Arabidopsis thaliana: one gene and its partners. The protein of the gene in region 1 interacts with the protein of each later gene in a pairwise test. Each region holds a gene or a part of one and is shown in the gene's direction. Other genes may lie near its edges.

Evidence for each region.
Region 2: the proteins of AT1G74370 (region 1) and AT1G77350 interact in a protein complementation assay, tested with the Arabidopsis thaliana proteins (one large-scale study listed by BioGRID).
Region 3: the proteins of AT1G74370 (region 1) and AT3G13175 interact in a protein complementation assay, tested with the Arabidopsis thaliana proteins (one large-scale study listed by BioGRID).
Region 4: the proteins of AT1G74370 (region 1) and HS1 interact in a protein complementation assay, tested with the Arabidopsis thaliana proteins (one large-scale study listed by BioGRID).

Annotation. Positions count from the first base shown.
Region 1 is NC_003070.9:27,956,474-27,961,369, reverse strand, and holds AT1G74370 (RING/U-box superfamily protein), read left to right. Parts: upstream 1-1,969; 5' UTR 1,970-2,183; intron 2,184-2,339; 5' UTR 2,340-2,384; coding exon 2,385-3,170; 3' UTR 3,171-3,284; downstream 3,285-4,896. Other genes in the region: AT1G74385 (uncharacterized protein), read left to right, coding at 400-645; XXT5 (xyloglucan xylosyltransferase 5), read right to left, coding at 149-1,522; AT1G74360 (Leucine-rich repeat protein kinase family protein), read right to left, coding at 3,459-4,896.
Region 2 is NC_003070.9:29,068,010-29,072,921, forward strand, and holds AT1G77350 (keratinocyte-associated-like protein), read left to right. Parts: upstream 1-2,215; 5' UTR 2,216-2,354; intron 2,355-2,472; 5' UTR 2,473-2,487; coding exon 2,488-2,646; intron 2,647-2,814; coding exon 2,815-2,866; intron 2,867-3,260; coding exon 3,261-3,327; intron 3,328-3,445; coding exon 3,446-3,536; 3' UTR 3,537-3,890; downstream 3,891-4,912. Other genes in the region: AT1G77340 (Pentatricopeptide repeat (PPR) superfamily protein), read right to left, coding at 611-1,819; APPR6 (Tetratricopeptide repeat (TPR)-like superfamily protein), read right to left, coding at 3,974-4,912.
Region 3 is NC_003074.8:4,234,222-4,238,543, reverse strand, and holds AT3G13175 (uncharacterized protein), read left to right. Parts: upstream 1-2,729; 5' UTR 2,730-2,963; coding exon 2,964-3,284; 3' UTR 3,285-3,469; downstream 3,470-4,322. Other genes in the region: AT3G13180 (NOL1/NOP2/sun family protein / antitermination NusB domain-containing protein), read left to right, coding at 44-130, 362-453, 540-600, 729-788, 892-952, 1,104-1,211, 1,343-1,461, 1,544-1,615 and 3 more.
Region 4 is NC_003074.8:5,879,340-5,884,199, forward strand, and holds HS1 (heat stable protein 1), read left to right. Parts: upstream 1-2,579; 5' UTR 2,580-2,626; intron 2,627-2,725; exon of another isoform or gene 2,726-2,737; 5' UTR 2,738-2,978; coding exon 2,979-3,118; intron 3,119-3,367; coding exon 3,368-3,557; 3' UTR 3,558-3,861; downstream 3,862-4,860. Other genes in the region: UPL6 (ubiquitin protein ligase 6), read left to right, coding at 69-136, 243-309, 531-701, 791-880, 975-1,055, 1,164-1,237, 1,344-1,415, 1,508-1,597 and 1 more; PMEI2 (pectin methylesterase inhibitor 2), read right to left, coding at 3,989-4,510.

The DNA of each region.
Region 1 (4,896 bases):
CAACAAACAAAAAAAAGAGAAGCAGAAGAAACAGTAAAGTAGCAAGTACAGGCAAACAAATTTGCTTTGCATTTGTGAGTGTCATATAATTTACCTATACGTGTCCACAATCTCATGAGAGCTGAGCCTATCCTCTCCTTGTGTTCCTCTAGTTCTGTGGTTTGGTTTCCACTGGCGTTCTGCGAATATCAAACTTGTCTACAAACTCCAAAGGAGAGACTGTCTCATTTCTGATCCTCTTAATCTTGGGGCTCAACAATCCCCTATGGCTAAAACCATACAGCTTGAGCACTTGATTGTCTGCAAAATTAAAGGCCCTCTCCATACTCTTCAAGCACCTCTCGACTGCATAATCAGCATAGCTACCACACGGTTTACACCCAACGAAATGGGTCACAAATGGCCATCTCTCATCACCCAATCCCGGGTGATACTTCTCTATCATCTCCTCATACCTATCAACCAAACCTTCCCAAAACCCGTGCAAATAGTATTGATTCTCCACAAACACTTTCTCCATCCATGTATCTTTCTGAGAAAGCAGGAGATAGATCAATGCTGACTGATCATCTGCCTCAAAAGCTGGTCTACCTTTCAGATAAGCCGTCAATACCTTCCCGGCCTCATCACGAATTGGCCCTTTAGGTCCCATAGGCGCCCAAGCATCTAACAAATCCAACGACCACTGACAATTCCTCAGCAGAAAACTACCTGTGTTCAAAGCAATCCACGACTTCTGATCGAACAACAAGTCCGGATAACCATGAATCACTAGATTATGCTTCTGATACCTAGCCAAAGGGATCTGAAACAGTATATCAGTGAACAAAGCATCACTATCCATCCACCAGATCCACTCAACTTCTGGATGAGACAACATCAACCTCCTAATCATTGGTAATTTTGCCCAATAGCCAGCGAGTTCCTTATCCAAATGAGCCATGTTATACACAATCTCAATTCCATGAAGCCTACAATAATCAATCTTGTTCTTCACAGATTTCAAAAGATAATGATCACCAATGGGGTTATCACAAGGCTTAGGAGGAGATCCTGTTAAAAGCAAGATTCGAGCTTTGCCATTGACAGTACTAGGAAACTCAGGATTCTGATTCAACCATACCTTACGTTGACTATCCCAATCCGTGATCTTAGGACCTAGAACATACGTCGCATTGGGATTCATATCACCTTCCTGAGGCTCATCCAAGTCGGTTGGATCCGAATCAGATCGGATCTCAGCTAGAATCCGGTTAGTCTCCTCAATGATGTTCTGGTTAACTGCATCGGCGCTTGAGCTTCCTAGGTTACCAACACCGATAGTGCCACGTAAGACGAGAATTGTGACGAAACCACAGAGAATTGTGATCTTGATGTTGTTAAACGTCTTCTGCATCTGTCTACCTCGAGGTAACAAACCACCACGACCACCTCTTCCTCCACCGTTGGTTAACGTCGTCGTCGGAAGTCCTCCGCCGCTTCCGGATGGTCTTTTATGCGCCGGCGAACCATCTTGACCCATTTTCTTCTTCAACGTCTCTCTCTATAGATTTCACTTACAGGTTTGCGACCATCAACTTTGTTTTCCTCAGATCAGTCTGAGTATGTTTCTGTCTCTCCGTACTTACTTATTCACGGATCTGAGAAAAAGTTCAGATCTTTAGCATGATTCCGATCGGGGAAAGAGAAAGAGAAAGATTTGTCGATCTGAAGAACCCTAATTTAAAAATGGAATTAAACCCAATAATGCGGAAACATTGTCATTACTTAAAAATATATTGTCGGAGGAAAATGCTTCGTTCGATCCAGAAAGCGCACAAGGAGAAGAAGAAACGCGTACAGCTCACTCTCACCGACAACTACTATTTTACTTTAACCGATTTCGGTAATAGAAAATTACGGAACTAAACCGGTAGTTTAATTTTGGCGGTATAGTGAAACGATGCGTTTTGGTAGTTAAACCTGAAAACAGAAACGGATAAGGTGAGGAAATCGGTGGGGGCGGCGGAAACATTGAAAGGCGTTTCAGAGTCACCATGTTTTACGACGCGTGTCTCTTTTTCAGCCGGTTTTCTTCTCGCTGGTTACATCAGAGCTTCGGAGATATTATATAACTCAACGACGTAGCTGTTGCATTTTTTGTTTTTGCAATGATCTTCATCTTCATGACCGGATAAACTCTTGTAAGTGTATTTCGTTTTCTGTAATTCTGTTAATGATTTCTTGGGTTTCATCAAGTTCGTTACTTTTTGTATGTTCTCGGTCCAATCTTTGGGGGTTGGATTGTAAATCTCATATCTGATTATGTAGTGTATGTGTGTGTGATTTTCTTGTTGCAGAGAGAAAGATTCAAAGTGATTATCTTTGTGGATCCCTCCATTGCTATGTGGAATTTAGCTTCAAAATCGATCAGAGAAGGTTTTATATCGAAGGGAGAAGAAGCTGCTACAAAACCAAGAAGAGCTACTTTAGATAGATCAGGAGATGGAAGAAAGACAACAAAGGAAGAAAAATTGGAGTGTCCCATTTGCTGGGAATCATTCAACGTTGTTGAGAATGTACCTTATGTCTTATGGTGTGGTCATACAATCTGCAAGTACTGTCTCTTAGGGCTTCAACGTGCCATTGTCATCAAATCCTCTGCTTTACCATTCCAGCTTCCCTTCTTCGTTGCTTGCCCTTGGTGCAATATTCTCTCTTTAAGGCTGGTTTGCAATGGAACCATCAGATTTCCTTCCAAGAACTTTTACCTTCTGTGGATGGTAGAAAGCATGAATGGCTCCAGATCGGAGGCACCCAGCGACAACAAAAGGGTTGCTTCAGGGCAGAGAGACTTGAGAAATAGGTGTGATGGAGTGAGTAATACCGCCTTGGGTGATGAAGGGTTGCTGGACAATCGCAGCTGGTGGAATGGTGTGACCAGAGGATTCTTCAGAACTGGGAGGCTCCATGACTCGGTACGTAAGTCAATGGCTCTTGTTGCTCATTTGTTGGCTAAGTTTCCTCTGGTAGTCATATTCCTGTTGATGGCTTTATATGCAATCCCTGTGAGTGCTGCAGTTCTCGGGGTTTATTTCTTTGTTACGTTTGCTTTGGCTGTCCCGTCGTTTCTCGTCCTTTATTTTGCCTTCCCGAGCTTAAACTGGCTGATCAGAGAGATTGCAACCTGACTCATTGTACTGTTTCTTTCTTCCTGTATGTTTCCTGACTTGTAAGAAACACGAGATAGAGCCAACGTTGTTTACACTCAATATAGACAAGAAGAAGAGAAGATCTTTATTTTCAGATTGTGTCTCTGTACATTGCGAACAAAACTACCTTTCTCTATCCCTATCTGTCTGATAACAATGAGGTTCTGTGTACAAGAAGAATCAGAAACAATGAAACGAAAAATGGTGAAGAAGAAAACTCTGTTGTTCTGTATAATAAATCTGAAAGAAGAAAAGAAAGAAAGATTTTTACATTTCTATGTAACCTTGTGAAGATAAGCCATTGAAGAGCTCTGCTTTACCGGATATCTTAACCAACATAGCTAGAACTTCTTTCATGTTTGGTCTTGCCTGAGGATGATCAGCTGTACACTTCACACCAATCTTTAGTAGCTCAGTCATTTGCTCAGCTCCGTTCCCTGGTTTGGTCCCTGACAGGGTTATTGGTGAACCTTTGGCTGTCATGTTACCTGTCATTACACGTCTTGCCCATTCGACCAAACACTCTTCTCCTCCATCAACAGCTCTTCTACCCGTCGCGAGTTCCATGGTCAATACTCCGTAGCTGTAAACATCTCCTCTTGTGGTGGCTTGCCAAGTTTGTCCATACTCGGGAGCTACATACCCGATTGTGCCTGCAATCACTGTGCTCACATGGCTATCTCCTACATTTAAGAGTCTTGCTAGTCCAAAATCCGTCACTCTCGCATTCCCGTGTTTATCCAAAAGAACGTTACTGGCTTTGACGTCTCTGTGAACGATGGAAGGGTAGCATTCGTGGTGTAAAAACACTAATCCCCTTGCTACATCTGTGGCTATATCAATACGTTTCTTCCATTGAAGTTTTGTTTTGTCTGTGATGAGCTCCTCTAAGCTCCCGCCTCCCATGTATTCGTGCACCAAGATTTTCTCTGACCCATCTAGGCACCATCCATATAGCCTCACGAGGTTCGGATGTGCCCAATCTCCAAATGCGTTGGCACTTAGAACTTCCATTTCAGCTCTGAACTCTTTCTCTGCTTCTGTGCCTTCCCTCTGAAGCTTCTTGACTGCAACTTCTCTTCCATCAGGCAATACGCCTCTGTAAACAGTTCCATAGCCTCCCCTACCTACCACTCTCTCCTCAGAGAAGTTACTGGTTGCTTTCAGAATGTCAGCGTATGTGAAAGTTGATTTGTCTAAGCGAATGACCTTGATTTTTCCTGATAGCCATGGCGATGATCCACCTGAACTGGAAGTCATGTCATGTCTGGTTTTCGACCCATCTAAGAGATCGATTTCTGCTTCCCTTGAAGCCTTAACAACCATAAGTACAATACCTGATACCACTAAACATGCAATAAACGCCAATGCAAGAGCCAAGGAAATCCAAATCAAAAGAAGAGTTCTTGGCCTGTTTCCTAGGACTTGGTTGGAAATCTTCCTCGTGTTGTTCCCTGATTGGTTGAAGAAACTAGGAAACCGCAGCAGCGGATTTCCAAGAAAGGAGTCTTTGTCAAAGGTTGCTACTTGTCCTGTTGTTGGTATCGCGCCAGAAATGAAAGGGTTATATGAGATGTTGAACTTACTCAGCTCATTCAAGTCATTCAAACTCGTTGGAAAGTTTCCAGAGAAATTGTTGAAAGACAGATCAAGATTCTGCAGGCACTTCAGATTTCCGATTTCTTGAGGAATCTCGCCCGAGAAA
Region 2 (4,912 bases), 1.1 Mb from region 1:
TCCACAACTTCAAATTACAATTATATAATTGGTCACTTACTTTTTGATTTTATAAAACCAGATAAAGAAAGTAGAAACTTCAATTACATTTGTCTATGGTTTCATTTTGGCACTAGGACATACAAAATTATATCTTTGTAACAAAAAAAAAAAATACATAGGACATAACATCAAATACCAAATTTAGAATGTATAACCAATCAGAGTGACTAAAGTGGTTGGTAAAATGTAATCAATCTTTCCCTTGAAGACCTTTACTAAGCATCGATCGTGTATGAGAGCTAAATTTGCAGCCACTTTTTTCCATTACTTGGAACAACTCACAAAACCCCTCTACAAAGCCCTGTTTAAGCACACCATCAATGAGGATTTTCCAAGCGATTTCATCATCGCAATATCCACATCGAAGCAGTTTTTCGAAAACCGAGTTGACTCTCTCTTTTTCTCCTTCTTCACACAGCTTGCAAATCAACATTTTGCAAAACTCTAGTTGTGGTGAATGACCATTACATATCATATCTTCCACAACTTTTGCAGCTTCCTCATACTTTTGCAGCTTGTAGTAACATCTAAGAAGACCATTACAAATCTTCTCACTTAACGATATTCCTCATACTGTACGCTGGTTTGGAACCAATCCACTTTCTTCCATCAAACTAAGCAATCTATATGCACTATCTAAATTACCAGAGCTACACTGTCCAGCGATCAATGTATTATAAGTTATCAAGTCTGGAACCAAATTCTGCTCTAGCATCTTACTAAGCAGTCCCATTGCTTTGTGCACATTCTTCTTACAAAAACCTTTGATCAATGCATTGTATGTAATAACATTTGGCATCAACCCATTCTCCAACATATGTTCTAGCAATCCACTTGCTTCATCAAGTGTATCTCCACTACAAAAACTCTGAATAAGCACAGTATACATACAATCATCAGGCTTAATGCCACTCTCTGACATCTGCTTAAACAAATTCATAGCTTCTGACTTCTGTCCTGATCCACACAAAGCATCTATAAGCACTGTGTATGTTCGAACATTAGGACAACAATTGTCATCTTTCATTTTCACCAATAAGCTCAAAGCTTCATCGATCTTCTTTGCTTCAAATAGACCATATATAAGCTGAGTGTAAGAAACCTCATTTCTATGGCAACCGTTCTGAGTCATCTCCTTAAAAACCTTAAAAGCCGCATCGACTTCTTTTCTTCGACAATGTCCGGTAATAAAAGAAGTATATGTGAAATAATCAGGATCACATCCAGCTTGAATAAGCCAAGTCACATACTGCTTTGCTTCTACTACATATCCAAGCTTACAATACCCATTAACCAATGTGTTAAACGTGTATATGTCTGGAGAAACCAAATCCTCCAACATTTCAGTATAAAGTCTCTTCATTTCTTCGACTAATCCAAATCTAGCTAATGAACTCAACAGATTATTGTAGCATTTAGGAGTAAGTTTATATTTAATCTCGAAGCTATCACCTTTACGCATTGTCCTACAGAAATCAACAACAAACAAAGCGTCTCGCACTGAATTGCAGCTCTTTATCATTAAGATCGTGATCTTAGGCACCTCATAAGGTATTTCCTGGCTGCAGAGAAGAGTAACCAAAGACGCGTATGAAGTAACGTTGTGCTTGAAGTTTGGTATCCGAGAGATCCAATCCGAGAAACTGAGAGCTGTCTGAGGATCAAGATTGAGTGAAAACAGAGAAGAGACATGAGAAGGTGTATAGAAGGGGTAAGAGATTTTAGAGATGGATTGTTCTGCCAATTTGGTTCGGAGACAATTGAGAGTAATCGGCATGGAAGATTAGAGGGGTTAGACTCTGCTGTTGAGATAGTACTTGTAACTTTGTAAGCAGAGATGCGGCGGTGGATAATGGCCTTCGACGGAGAAGGTAGCCGGAAGAAGTAGAAGGAGATTTGGAAGTAGTAATCTCATCGTCGGTTGATTCGACGGTAAGTTGTACTTCCAGTTCAAGCAACAGTAGGGTTTAGGGTTTATGAATCAGTGAATGCAAGCAAAACCTCAAACCCGGTACAATGCTACGTTTGGTATTCTGCATTGGTTTATTAATTAAACCCAAACTCAAGTGGCATGTACAATACTACGTCAGTTGTTTGTATAAAACGACAGCGTTTGAAACCGCGACTGGTCCGTCAGGGTATATATGTAATATATACGATAAACATGTATTTTATGGTCAATGCGAATTCCCAATTTTCCCATTTCTTAAAATCTCTTCTCGATCTCCTTTGTTTCCGATTTGCCGGTCTTCGAAGTGGAACTGTGGCAGTGACGAGCGTGAGGAGAAGATCTGATCTTTAGGGCTTTCAAGGTAACTCATCACATTCTTCTATCTGTTGATTTCTCGTTTTCCGACCAGTGGATCAATCGATCAGTTTTGTACGAATTCGTGTCTGATTATCTGTTACGGTCTTAATTTGATTGTTTAGTTTGGATTTAGAAGCATGGCAGGAGCTGTTGGAACATCAATGTTAGGGTCTCTTATTGTGTTTACAGTGATCCTCTCGCTTCAGGAAATTTACAGAGGAAAATTAGCTTCTTCAGAGCTGTTCACGATCCTTGGTGGATTCACAAGCTCTCTCCTCTTTTTGTTTTCTCTCACTGTAAGTTCCTTAGAATTCCTCAACTTGATCTCGTCTTCATGGAAATGCACTACCTTTACAACTCCAATGTTGATCTGTGTCGTTAAATTTGAGATCTTTTGTTTTCTTCTCGAATTCATCTACATTTGTTGTTGACAGTTTGGTTGATGCGGTTTCTTTTACTTTCAGTTCATTGGAAATTTTCAGGAATCTTCTGGCATCAAGAGTGGTTGGGGTGCAGGTATGTCCTTGCTTCTTCATGAAATCAAATTTGTTCATACGATCAAAACCATTGGGTGTCTACTCTACCCCATTTTGTCTTCCACTTCAGAAGTTTGAGGGCTTAAGAGTGGAATTTTTGAATCTTTGATGATGATGCTCTAAGTTTACTTTCTGATAACATATTACGAAAACTCTTACTTTTATGTGTTACAAATACTCTTTTAGTGAATCAGTTGTTGGAACCAAATTTTTTTCATTCTTATGTCTTTTTCTGTATCACCTATATAAGAATCACAGTGATAAATGGCTCGAATTTGTTTGCCCCCTCCTGCTTCTGCTGTGTGAAAGTGGGTATACTCATTACTCAACAAGGGTTTGCAATGTATTGAAGCCAATTTTTGTTTCCATGGCAGTCATTCTTGCAGAAATCATAGCTCTTATCGCTGCTGGCACGGTTCATCGGGTTTGTATCACAACCTGGTAAGTGGAAATTCACTAGTTCTACTTGGTATATCCATTTACCCTGTTTAATTACTTCATTCCTCTCTTGCTAAAAGCGGTGTGGTGATTGTGATGCTGTTTCTTGATCTGCCTGCAGTTTCCTGTTCTCTGCTGGGCTATTGTACGAGGTGAACAAGATCTCTGGATACATGCTATCCAAAACCGAGTCAAAGTCTAAGAGACACTGAACCTGATAATGGAATTGATACGGCTTATTATTCTGGACTTAGATTTGTTTGGCACTTGAAGATGCAAAAACACTTTCAACATCATGAATTGTGATACTTAGAAACCCTAAATTCAAAATCCACATCTTATGCTTGATGTGAGTATTAGGTCTGTTTCCTTTGCAGCTTATAATCATAGAGATAATCATTTTAGTTGTGTCTTATGTTCTTGGAGAAACTGAATTGTGTCTTTTGGCCTCGACATCGTATCATCCGCAACCAGACACATCAAATGGTTTGTATCATCTATATTTTAATATCTCATGTATCGAAACCGCAACAATTGCTGATTCCAATTTAAATTACAACTTTACCAAGGTAAATGGAGCCTGAGCCAAATGCTTAGGATCAGCTGTTGTTAGCGTACTAATCTGTGGTTCACAGGAAATCTAAGAAAGTCAATCACACAACGGCTCATTGACCAAAACGTTCATCTTCTCATTAAGGAACTTGAGCACATCTTCTCTCTCTTCTTTGATAAGCAGCTGTCTTAATCTACCAAACGTTACACCCGATGGTCGAATCCCCATCTCGATCATCTCCTCTAACAAAACACAAGCTTTCTGAGTGGTACGCTCCTCGCACAACCCATTAATAAGAACCGAGAATGTATGCATACTAGGGAACACCCCTTTCTTCCTCATGTATTTCCACACTTTATCCGCTGTCTCCATCTCTTTCTTTTCACAAAACATCTTGATCACCATCGTGTAAGTGTCTGCATCTGGTTCACACACTTTAATCATCTTCCTAAAGACATCAAAAGCTTCGTCTTTCTCCCCTCGTTCTATTAGATGGCGTAGAATGATGTTACATGACTTGGAGTTAGGCGTCACACCTTTACTCTTCATTTCTTTCAAAACCCTATACACATTCTTCATCCTATTTGCTTTGCAAAATGCACCGATCAATGAATTGAAAACTGCTACATCGGCTTTCATTCCACTTCTTTCCATCTCGAGGAAAGTATCAACCGCCTCTTCAAGCCGGTTCTCAGTTCCATAAGTATGTACAAGCACACTATAGATAAAAGTGGTCGGCTTGCAAATGCTTGGATCCATGCTCCTCACAATGCCAAGAGCTTCATCAACTCTTCCAGCTTTACAAAGTATGTCAACCATTATACTATACGTCACTATATCCGGATGACAACCCGCATCAATCATTTCCCGGAAGACCTCTCTTGCCTTGGGCAAGTTGGGTTCTTTCCCCCATCCCTCAAGCAATATGCTATACGTTTTGGAGTCAGGCGTAAAGCGATCCCTCATATTTTCGAAAACTTCCTGTGCTTTCCTCACATTCTTGGATTTACACAACGCACTCAACAACCCGTTGAA
Region 3 (4,322 bases), on another chromosome or scaffold:
AACAAACTTAAGCTTCTATGAATTCTGACGTAGGGATCTGCAGGAAAAAGATGCCCTTCCATTACCCAAAGTGGAAGGGGATGATCGTGCACAGGCACGTGCACTTGCTACTCTTCATTCACATCCCGTTGTAAGTTTGTATAGCTACAGCCTCATCTTTCCATGCTGTTTTAATTCGAAGCTAGAGCTAGTTGGTGGTATGAAATCGATACTTTGAACTTGTGAAGCTCCTAGATTACTTGGTTTTAGCTATGAGGATATCTATGTAGTGCTGAACAACTATGTATTGCTGAACAACTGCGATAAGGCTTCATTCCTGTTTGATGAAAGAAACTCTCATTTTGTTTCCTTTCCTTCCTAGTGGATGGTTAGACGATGGGTAAAGTATCTTGGGTTGGATGAAGCCACAAAGCTAATGATATGGAATAACAATGATCCTGGATTTAGCTTAAGGTTTATCTCCATAACATTTTGTATTCACAGAAGGAAAGATAAGTTATTAGCTGTCAGACAGATAATACTATTTCTAATAATATCAGGGCCAATACGGGAAGGGACATTACAAGAGCAGACCTTGTGGAGCGTCTAAACAGTTTAAAGGTTTTTTTCGTTTAATGTTTCTCGTTCTTTATTCAGTTGAAATCATCGTGTTTGTGTAAAACCAGGCACATGATTGTTTCTTATAATGCTTAGTTTCTTACTTCAATTATGGCTTTCCTATGCTGCAGGTTCCACACGAGCTATCCTTACATTTGGAGGAATTTGTCCGCATCAAAACAGGCTTGCAGGTGTTGTAATGTAACCGTGAATTGTCCTCTTGTTGGCAATTTTCTTATCCTAGTTTTTTTACTGATAAGTTTCATAATTGATCATGGGCCTTTTCTTTAACAGACCGTTGTGCAAGCTGGTTTACTCAAAGAAGGCATCTGTTCTGTTCAGGACGAGAGTGCAGGTCAGTTTGGTCTTGTAATTATTTGGACTGCTCCTGAGAAAAGATACAGTCTCCTCTTCATTAATTTTTCATGCTGTTAACAGATTTAAGTTTATCCAAAATCCTTTTGTTCTTTTGATATCTAAATATCTCCCCACATCTGGTACTGCAGGACTAATAGTCTCAGTGGTGAAACCTCAGCCAGGCGAGAGGATAATGGATGCATGTGCTGCTCCTGGAGGAAAGACCCTATTCATGGCATCTTGCTTGAAAGGCCAAGGTAATATTACAAAGACCCCTTATTTTCCTCTATTGTACATTAATGTTGAATTAAATTATCTATTTTGAGAAACTTTTCTACTATACTTGACTGATTCCATCCTCAAACTGGCAAACTCGAATCGATTATAGGTATGATATATGCTATGGATGTGAATGAAGGACGGCTAAGAATTCTTGGTGAGACAGCAAAATCACACCAAGTTGATGGACTTATCACAACCATTCATTCTGATCTTCGTGTCTTTGCTGTAAGTTAACATTATTTGAGTATCTGAAGTTTCCAAGTTTGTAAGCTACTCACATGCTTCCTTCCAACTTAATGTGTTTTAGGAAACCAATGAAGTACAATATGACAAAGTTTTGCTTGATGCCCCGTGTTCTGGACTCGGCGTCCTCTCCAAGGTTAACATGAGAAAAGTTTATCTAACTGTTTCGCCAGCAAGATTTAACATTGCTAGTTGAATTGACCTGATCTGATTAACCTGTTCCCATTAATCTGTATTTTGTAGAGAGCGGATTTGCGCTGGAACCGTAAACTTGAGGACATGTTAGAGCTCACTAAACTGCAGGATGAGCTTCTTGATTCTGCCTCCAAGTATGCACTCTGTACATACATTTTGATGAGTCATTTGATTAATTCTGAAACACTAATATGCGACTTATCTGATACTTTTATCTGTGACACTCTTGATTGAATCTCAAAGACTGGTGAAGCACGGTGGGGTGTTGGTATACAGTACTTGCTCCATAGACCCCGAGGAAAATGAAGGAAGGGTCGAAGCATTTCTCTTAAGACATCCTGTAAGAATCTTTATAATCCATTTGCTTTCCTTCAGATGTTGATATTAACAAATAGTCTCTCTGCTTTCACAGGAATTCACCATAGATCCAGTAACCAGTTTTGTACCGTCGAGTTTTGTAACCTCACAAGGCTTCTTTTTATCAAACCCAGTGAAACACTCACTAGATGGAGCATTTGCAGCTCGTCTGGTTCGAGCCTTGTGACGTTAAAAGCAAGCTGTATTTGTCTCTGCTGAGAGTTTGGATGCAATTAGACGAAGAGGATAAATGAAAACACCTTCTCTTTTATTCGTAGAGTTGGGTTTTATGAGAGAAGTGTAAACTTGTAGAGATGCTGCTAATTGTATGTTGATATGTTTAAAGAAAATGCCTCGCCGTTTTGCCAGAGCTAGAAAGTAGAAACGGCGGCTCGTGTAAGTTCTAACAAAAGAGTAGTCGTCTGTTAGCAACCCAAATCGGGCTTTTAAAGGCCCATATTTTGGTCGGCCTGAATCCAAAGTTAAAAATTCAATCATGCAAAACGGACAACATTATAACTGAATTGAAAATATCTCTCTTATCATTATTTTAGCTTTGTACGATTTACTATTTATGTCAGAAAATGTTTCATTCTTTGACTTTTACGACAACTTTACAAAAAAAAAAATGTTCATACAAGTCACAGAACAAAGTAACATAAAAATCTTAAAAATATATTATCATTTTCGTTAGAAGAAAAACAGTATAATTTTCAAACGCGTTTAAAAACAAAATAACTTGAGATTTTGACGTTATCCTTGTCACAGAGAATCTTTCCTATTTCTTTACGTATAGACACTCAGAGGAAAGACAGAGAGAGAGTTAGCATTGTACTATCTCTCTTTTAGATATATCTCTATCTCTCTTCACTCCATCTTTCTCGTGTTAACACAACAGTCACAGACTCACAGATCTTTGTCGGTGATCGGAGATGGAGTTCCGGGAGAAGCTTTTGAAGTTCAAGTTGCAAATCGTGTTTGCCTTTGTTTTATCTCTCCTCACCGTAGCTCTCGTCGCTTATTCTCCCGGTTTCCTCACCGTTCTATCTTACTTCTGGCCACTTTTTCTCTCCACGGCTCTCTTTCTCGCTGCCGTTTTCTTCTTCGCACGCACCTCCGATCTCCCGGTTTCGTCTACCATCATCCCAGGCGAAGGCGCAGGCTTAAAAGTGGCGGCGGAAGGGATTCTTGACTATGTCGTCGGCGGACAACACGAAGACATTCTCTTTGATAGCTTCACCAAACTTGACTAAGTATGAGACCTCTCTGTTCTTAATTCCTTAAGTATTTCCGTTAATTAGTTGTTCCTTTTTTAATACTAGAGAAAATAAAATTACAAAATGTAATATTTTCACGAGGAATAAAATCTTGCTTAAGTTTATGCTTCTATATTACTTATTTTAATCTTATGTTTCTGTTTAGGCGCGAGGCTTCTTTTCTTTAGGTATCTCTCATTAGTTTATACGTTACAAGATTACACATTGCATTGATATATGATTTTACTTTCAAAAAAAATTTAAATGTTGAACGACCTTAAAATCCGTGCGCTTTACTTTTAAATCTTTCCGAATGAAACCCAACCACCGACGCGACAGCTTTTCATTTGTTTACTAATTAAACGGAACAAAGCAATTTAAATGTTATCAGTGTTGTGTTTTAGTTAGAAATACTATAAATAATACAAGATGCCTCTTTTGTTTTAGAACTTTTTTGGTATCATGAATTCGTTATCGGATAAAATACGTTAAAGCTAAGTAGTATATTCTTAGATTATATATAAATTAGGTGAGCAATCTATCATAGAGAAGAAATGATTAAAATAAGTGTATGGCATAATAGATTCGAACATTTTGGTATGTTCCTCACGTGTCCGAGCATAAAGCTTATGAACAAATCTCGACCACTAGAAGTCTAGAACTAATTCTAATCTAGTTTACCATACACATTAATTATTTCAAATTTAGTGCACATGATTATTTTATATTGGCATCACTAAAATGTCTCCAAGTCTGAATAAATCGATTTATATTGGTTTGATTGTTATCATGAATCTTTTTCACAATCACTTTGCCTAGTTTCGGATCGGGCCTAAAAGCCAACGGCCCAACGTGTTTAAAAACACATGCGTTTTTAAAATGACACGTCAGTTACGTATCGGGCCTAAATGCCAATGGCCCAACGTCATGGAAAGTAGGAACTAAACGACACGCATGTTTAAATTCGAAGGTTTTAACGGCAAGCTTTTCGCACCCATCCCTTTTCTTCCCGTCTACAAAAATTCGTCGACCATT
Region 4 (4,860 bases), on another chromosome or scaffold:
TTATTTAAAGTTGCTTTTCATCTGTTATATAAGACTCATAATTGTTTTTTCCCGTTATCTTGTTGCAGGCTATGTTTGAAGGGATTCTTGTTGATATACCATTTGCAACGTTTTTCCTCAGCAAACTGAAACAAAAGTATGTAAATTTAATTTCTACCTCAATTTCCTGTCACTTCATTCGTTTTTTAAGCCCGCATAGACTTTTTGAACATGTTGTGAAACTTCTATTGTTCTTTGGCTAGGTACAACTATTTGAACGATTTGCCTTCTCTGGATCCTGAGTTGTATAGGCACCTTATATTTCTGAAGGTGAGTTTTGCTGAACATTCTATTTAATTGTTGCTTTGTAGAACGGGGAGATAGTTGCTAGCATAGATGTGCGAGAATGCTGAAATCTGTTTGTTTGTTTTTGTTTCGAAACTGAAATTTGTTTGTTTACCTACCTACGATAATTTTGGCTCTTTTTTTTTTTTTTTTTTTTGCTTCTTAGCTTTATACACCTTTTTATGTATTCATTATGATATTTGCAGCGTTATAAGGGTGATATCTCAGACTTGGAGCTTTACTTTGTTATTTTGAATAATGAATATGGAGAGAGGACAGAGGAAGAGCTACTTCCAGGGGGCCAAGACATGCGAGTTACAAATGAGAATGTTATAACTTTCATTCATCTGGTTTCCAATCATCGGTTAAATTTTCAGGTACTGGGGAACCACTTACCTCTCATTTATCTTGGCATACCTGAGGTCACCCTGTAAATCAACAGCTATTGATATCATCTCATTTGCAGATACGCCAGCAGAGTTCTCATTTCTTGAGGGGGTTTCAGCAACTCATTCCGAAAGAATGGATCGACATGTTCAATGAACATGAGCTTCAGGTGCCAATTAAGTGTATAATTATACTTGCTTTGTTAGTTGTTCCCTCGAGGAGCATGAAGAGAGAAATTTTACCTTTGTGGGCTTTGGTTGCAGGTTCTCATATCTGGTTCAGTTGATAGTTTGGATATAGACGACTTGCGAAACAACACTAATTATGCTGGAGGCTACCACGCGGTGAGTGGTTCTTCACTGTTAGCCGAAATGCCATTGTGAATTAGTGTAGGGACACTTTTGGAGTATTGTTATATATGATTATATCGCTATGTTGTTGACACTTGACAGGGACATTATGTGATCGATATGTTCTGGGAAGTTATGAAAAGCTTCTCAACTGAAAACCAGAAGAAGTTCTTAAAGTAAGCAAACTTTGCAGTTACTACTACAGTCTGTGTACGCAATGATTTACCGGAGTCTATGAATTTTCTAAGGGAACTAAGAGGTACCTCTATTTTTCAATTTCAGGTTTGTGACAGGCTGCTCACGAGGACCACTGCTGGGTTTCAAATACTTGGAACCTGCATTCTGCATACAGAGGTAATATACACAGACTCACAATCGTTTTGACTTTTGATGGGCCCTGGACAATAGAATCATAAAATATCCATCCTCGATGGAATGTGTATCAGGGCTGCCGGTAGTGCGAGTAATGAATCAGTTGATAGACTACCGACATCAGCCACTTGTATGAATCTTCTTAAGCTTCCGCCCTATCAAAGGTTTGTCCTCTCATAACACAAACTCTTTGGTTTTGCTTAGCTAAGAGACTTGTTTTGTTGCCAAATAGCTTCTCTTGGTGTTGTAATTGGAAAAAGCAAATAAAGCATGTCTTGTTGTTAATGATGCAGCAAAGAGCTACTTGAGACCAAATTGATGTACGCCATAAGCGCAGAAGCGGGTTTTGATCTGAGCTGATGGAATAGCTTCCTGCCTTAAACACAGACTTCAATGGCCCCAAATTGACACCCTTTTTTCTAGCATTCCTCGTTATGGTATAAACCGGGTAACCTGTAGACTGAGGCAGGCTTGTTGGCTCTAAGCATCTAAGAGACGGATCTAGAAGGAGAACATGTAGTAGAGATTACTTGACTAATGGGTTTCATTTGCAGCTCTCGGGTATTCGCTTTCAAAAAGTGTGACAAAAAAAAAAAAGTGATTACAGGGAAGTCTTTATTTGGAAGCTCCTGAGAGTTAGTCTTGGGTTAAAAATTCAATAAAAGAAATGGTAAATAAGACTGGTCTCAAGAGGAACTTAAATGCTGTAAATTATTTTGCTTAATTAATGCATGTTACACAGAACATAGATGATTATTTTGATACTTATTTGCATCATACCATATATCTTCTATAAAAAGATGCATTTTAGTGACTTAGTGGTAAGAATATCCTTTTTTTTTTTTTTTTGTCATATGATAATTATTAAAACAGAAACAAAATGACAGAAAAATAACGAGAAATACAAAATGAAATTTAAACTTTACTTTCCTTAGACACTTGATTGTGAAGTCATGAAGGCTCTCCAAGTGCTAAGTAAAACTTAGACTGAAACCTTCTGTCTTGAATCACACTCCCAAGAAATGGAACGCGCGATCAGATTTGCGTTTGTGGCAATATGACGGAATGTACAAGATTCAAATGCACTAACAATCTCATGGATTTGTGTTAACCAATTTCTATAGAAAGGCTATTTGGACGGCTGCAAAACGGCGTTAAGTGCGGCTGGACAGTCCAACTCTATTATCACCGTGGTAAGAATATCTCTATATACATTTTTTGTCGCACTTATCATGATTAATCAAGTAAACATAATTGTTACAAACACTTTATAAATTAAAAAAGCTTCAATTCAATTTGCACAGAAAAGAAAAAAAAAAGAAGAAGATTCAATACAGAGTATACCAGGAGCATCTGGTAATGTTTATATCTGAGGACGTTTTATTTAATTTTTTGGAACGAAAACAATAATCCGACGATCGTATTTGCACGTCGCAAATCCGCTCTTTTAATCAAAGATCTCGACCGTCCATTTTTAGTTAAGACTTTAGAGAGCTGATAAGTGGAATAGTGGAGATTTGCATTCGCAGGGGATAAGGATCAAAAATGGAGGAAGCAAAGGGACCTGTGAAGCACGTATTGCTTGCTAGTTTCAAAGATGGGGTTAGTCCTGAGAAAATCGAAGAGCTCATCAAAGGTTACGCCAATCTCGTCAATCTCATCGAACCTATGAAAGCTTTCCACTGGTTAGTAAATTTGGATTCTGAATTGCTTCCTAGTGTTAGACATATGCTCGAGATCCGAAAAACACTTCCATCAACTCAATATGATTATGTAAAACTAAGCAATTTGGGGAAATTCATGACCTTCCTAGTGTTGATCTAATTTCCCTCAGAGAGAATCCATCTCCATTGATGATCTTTTGAAAAGTTAAATCAACTAAATCGACGAATCTGCTCTTGTCTTATTGAATTATTGGATCTGTATAATTTTAGGGGAAAAGATGTGAGCATTGAGAATCTGCATCAAGGTTACACACACATCTTTGAATCCACATTTGAGAGTAAAGAAGCTGTTGCAGAGTACATTGCTCATCCTGCTCACGTTGAATTCGCCACCATCTTCCTTGGCAGCTTGGATAAAGTTTTGGTTATTGACTACAAGCCTACCTCTGTCTCTCTCTAATTATCTTGTAGCAGCATTTTCATCATTGATCTTTTTCTCGGGTATGCATCTTGTATGTTGAATAAAGTATATTCCTTTTGAGTTTTCCTGCATTGTTCTCATGTTTCTCTGTGAATTTCTCTCTTTTTTGTTTGTTTGTTTGTTTCCTTCTGTTGTATTATACTTGATCTGTAAAAAGATCATGAGTTTATTAAGAGTGTTTGATTTCAGACTCCTCTTTGTTATAAGTCTATTACTAGTTGTTGTCTCTTAGTTTCTTTTATCAATAGAGTTGAGTTATATGGAATAACAAGTTGAAAAGAAACCAGGTTCTTGTTGATGTGTGGGTTGGAGAAAAAAAGTTCTTTGATTATATATGTAACATTTATGCATTACTGTTTAATGTAATCGTCTAATGAGTATGATGAAGGGAGATTGAATCAATCCCACTCTCACATCATGTTTGAGATGACAAGTACAATGCCACAAATATTCTGAAAATCACCACTGTTCTTCACAGCTGAAGGATCAACTTTGAAATCCGCCATGTCTTGTTCACATGTTGAAGGTCCTTCCATAGCTGCTGAAACCTTAATGTTCAACCCTTTGCCATCGCCTGACGCCAGGCTCTGCTTAGCATCATTGAGACTGCTTATTGCACTCTTATAATGTTGTACACATGAGGTGTATGCTTTCTTCATAGTGGGGTTGGTTGCTGTCTTGACTAGAGATTGAATTTTCCTGAAACCTTCTGATGCACTTGTTTGTGCAGAACCAAATGTGATATTTGCAAGCGTTTGAAGATCAGCACCTGAGGTCTTTGGGTTGGATTTCATGTAGCTCGTACAGAAGGATTGGTTTTTCGCTTTTCCACATATCGCTTTTATGTCTGCCACTTGTGCGTTCAAAGAACCAGTCATTACAAAAAACATCAGAGAAGACATTAAAACTCTGTTCGTCAGGTATGCTGCCATCTTTGCTTCTTTCTTTCTTATGTTCGTTGGTAGATGATGGTTAAGTTATTCCCTTACTATGCCTGACTATTCATATTTATAGATGCATGCGATTGATTGCTTCCACTAGAACTAATAATAGAAATGGGTTGTTACTCTTTCTGATTCTTAGTTAGACCACAAGTCCTTATGTAAGAGAGAGAGAAAACTTTGCTATTCTTAGCATTAGTGCAGAGACAGTTATCTGATTAGTATTCGTCTAACTTACTTTCCTGACTTCTCTTCTTTAGGTAGATATGCATTCACTAATATGTGTTCATGATTTGTTGGTGCTAAGAAAGATTACTGTAGGAAGAGGTTCTATGGAGATA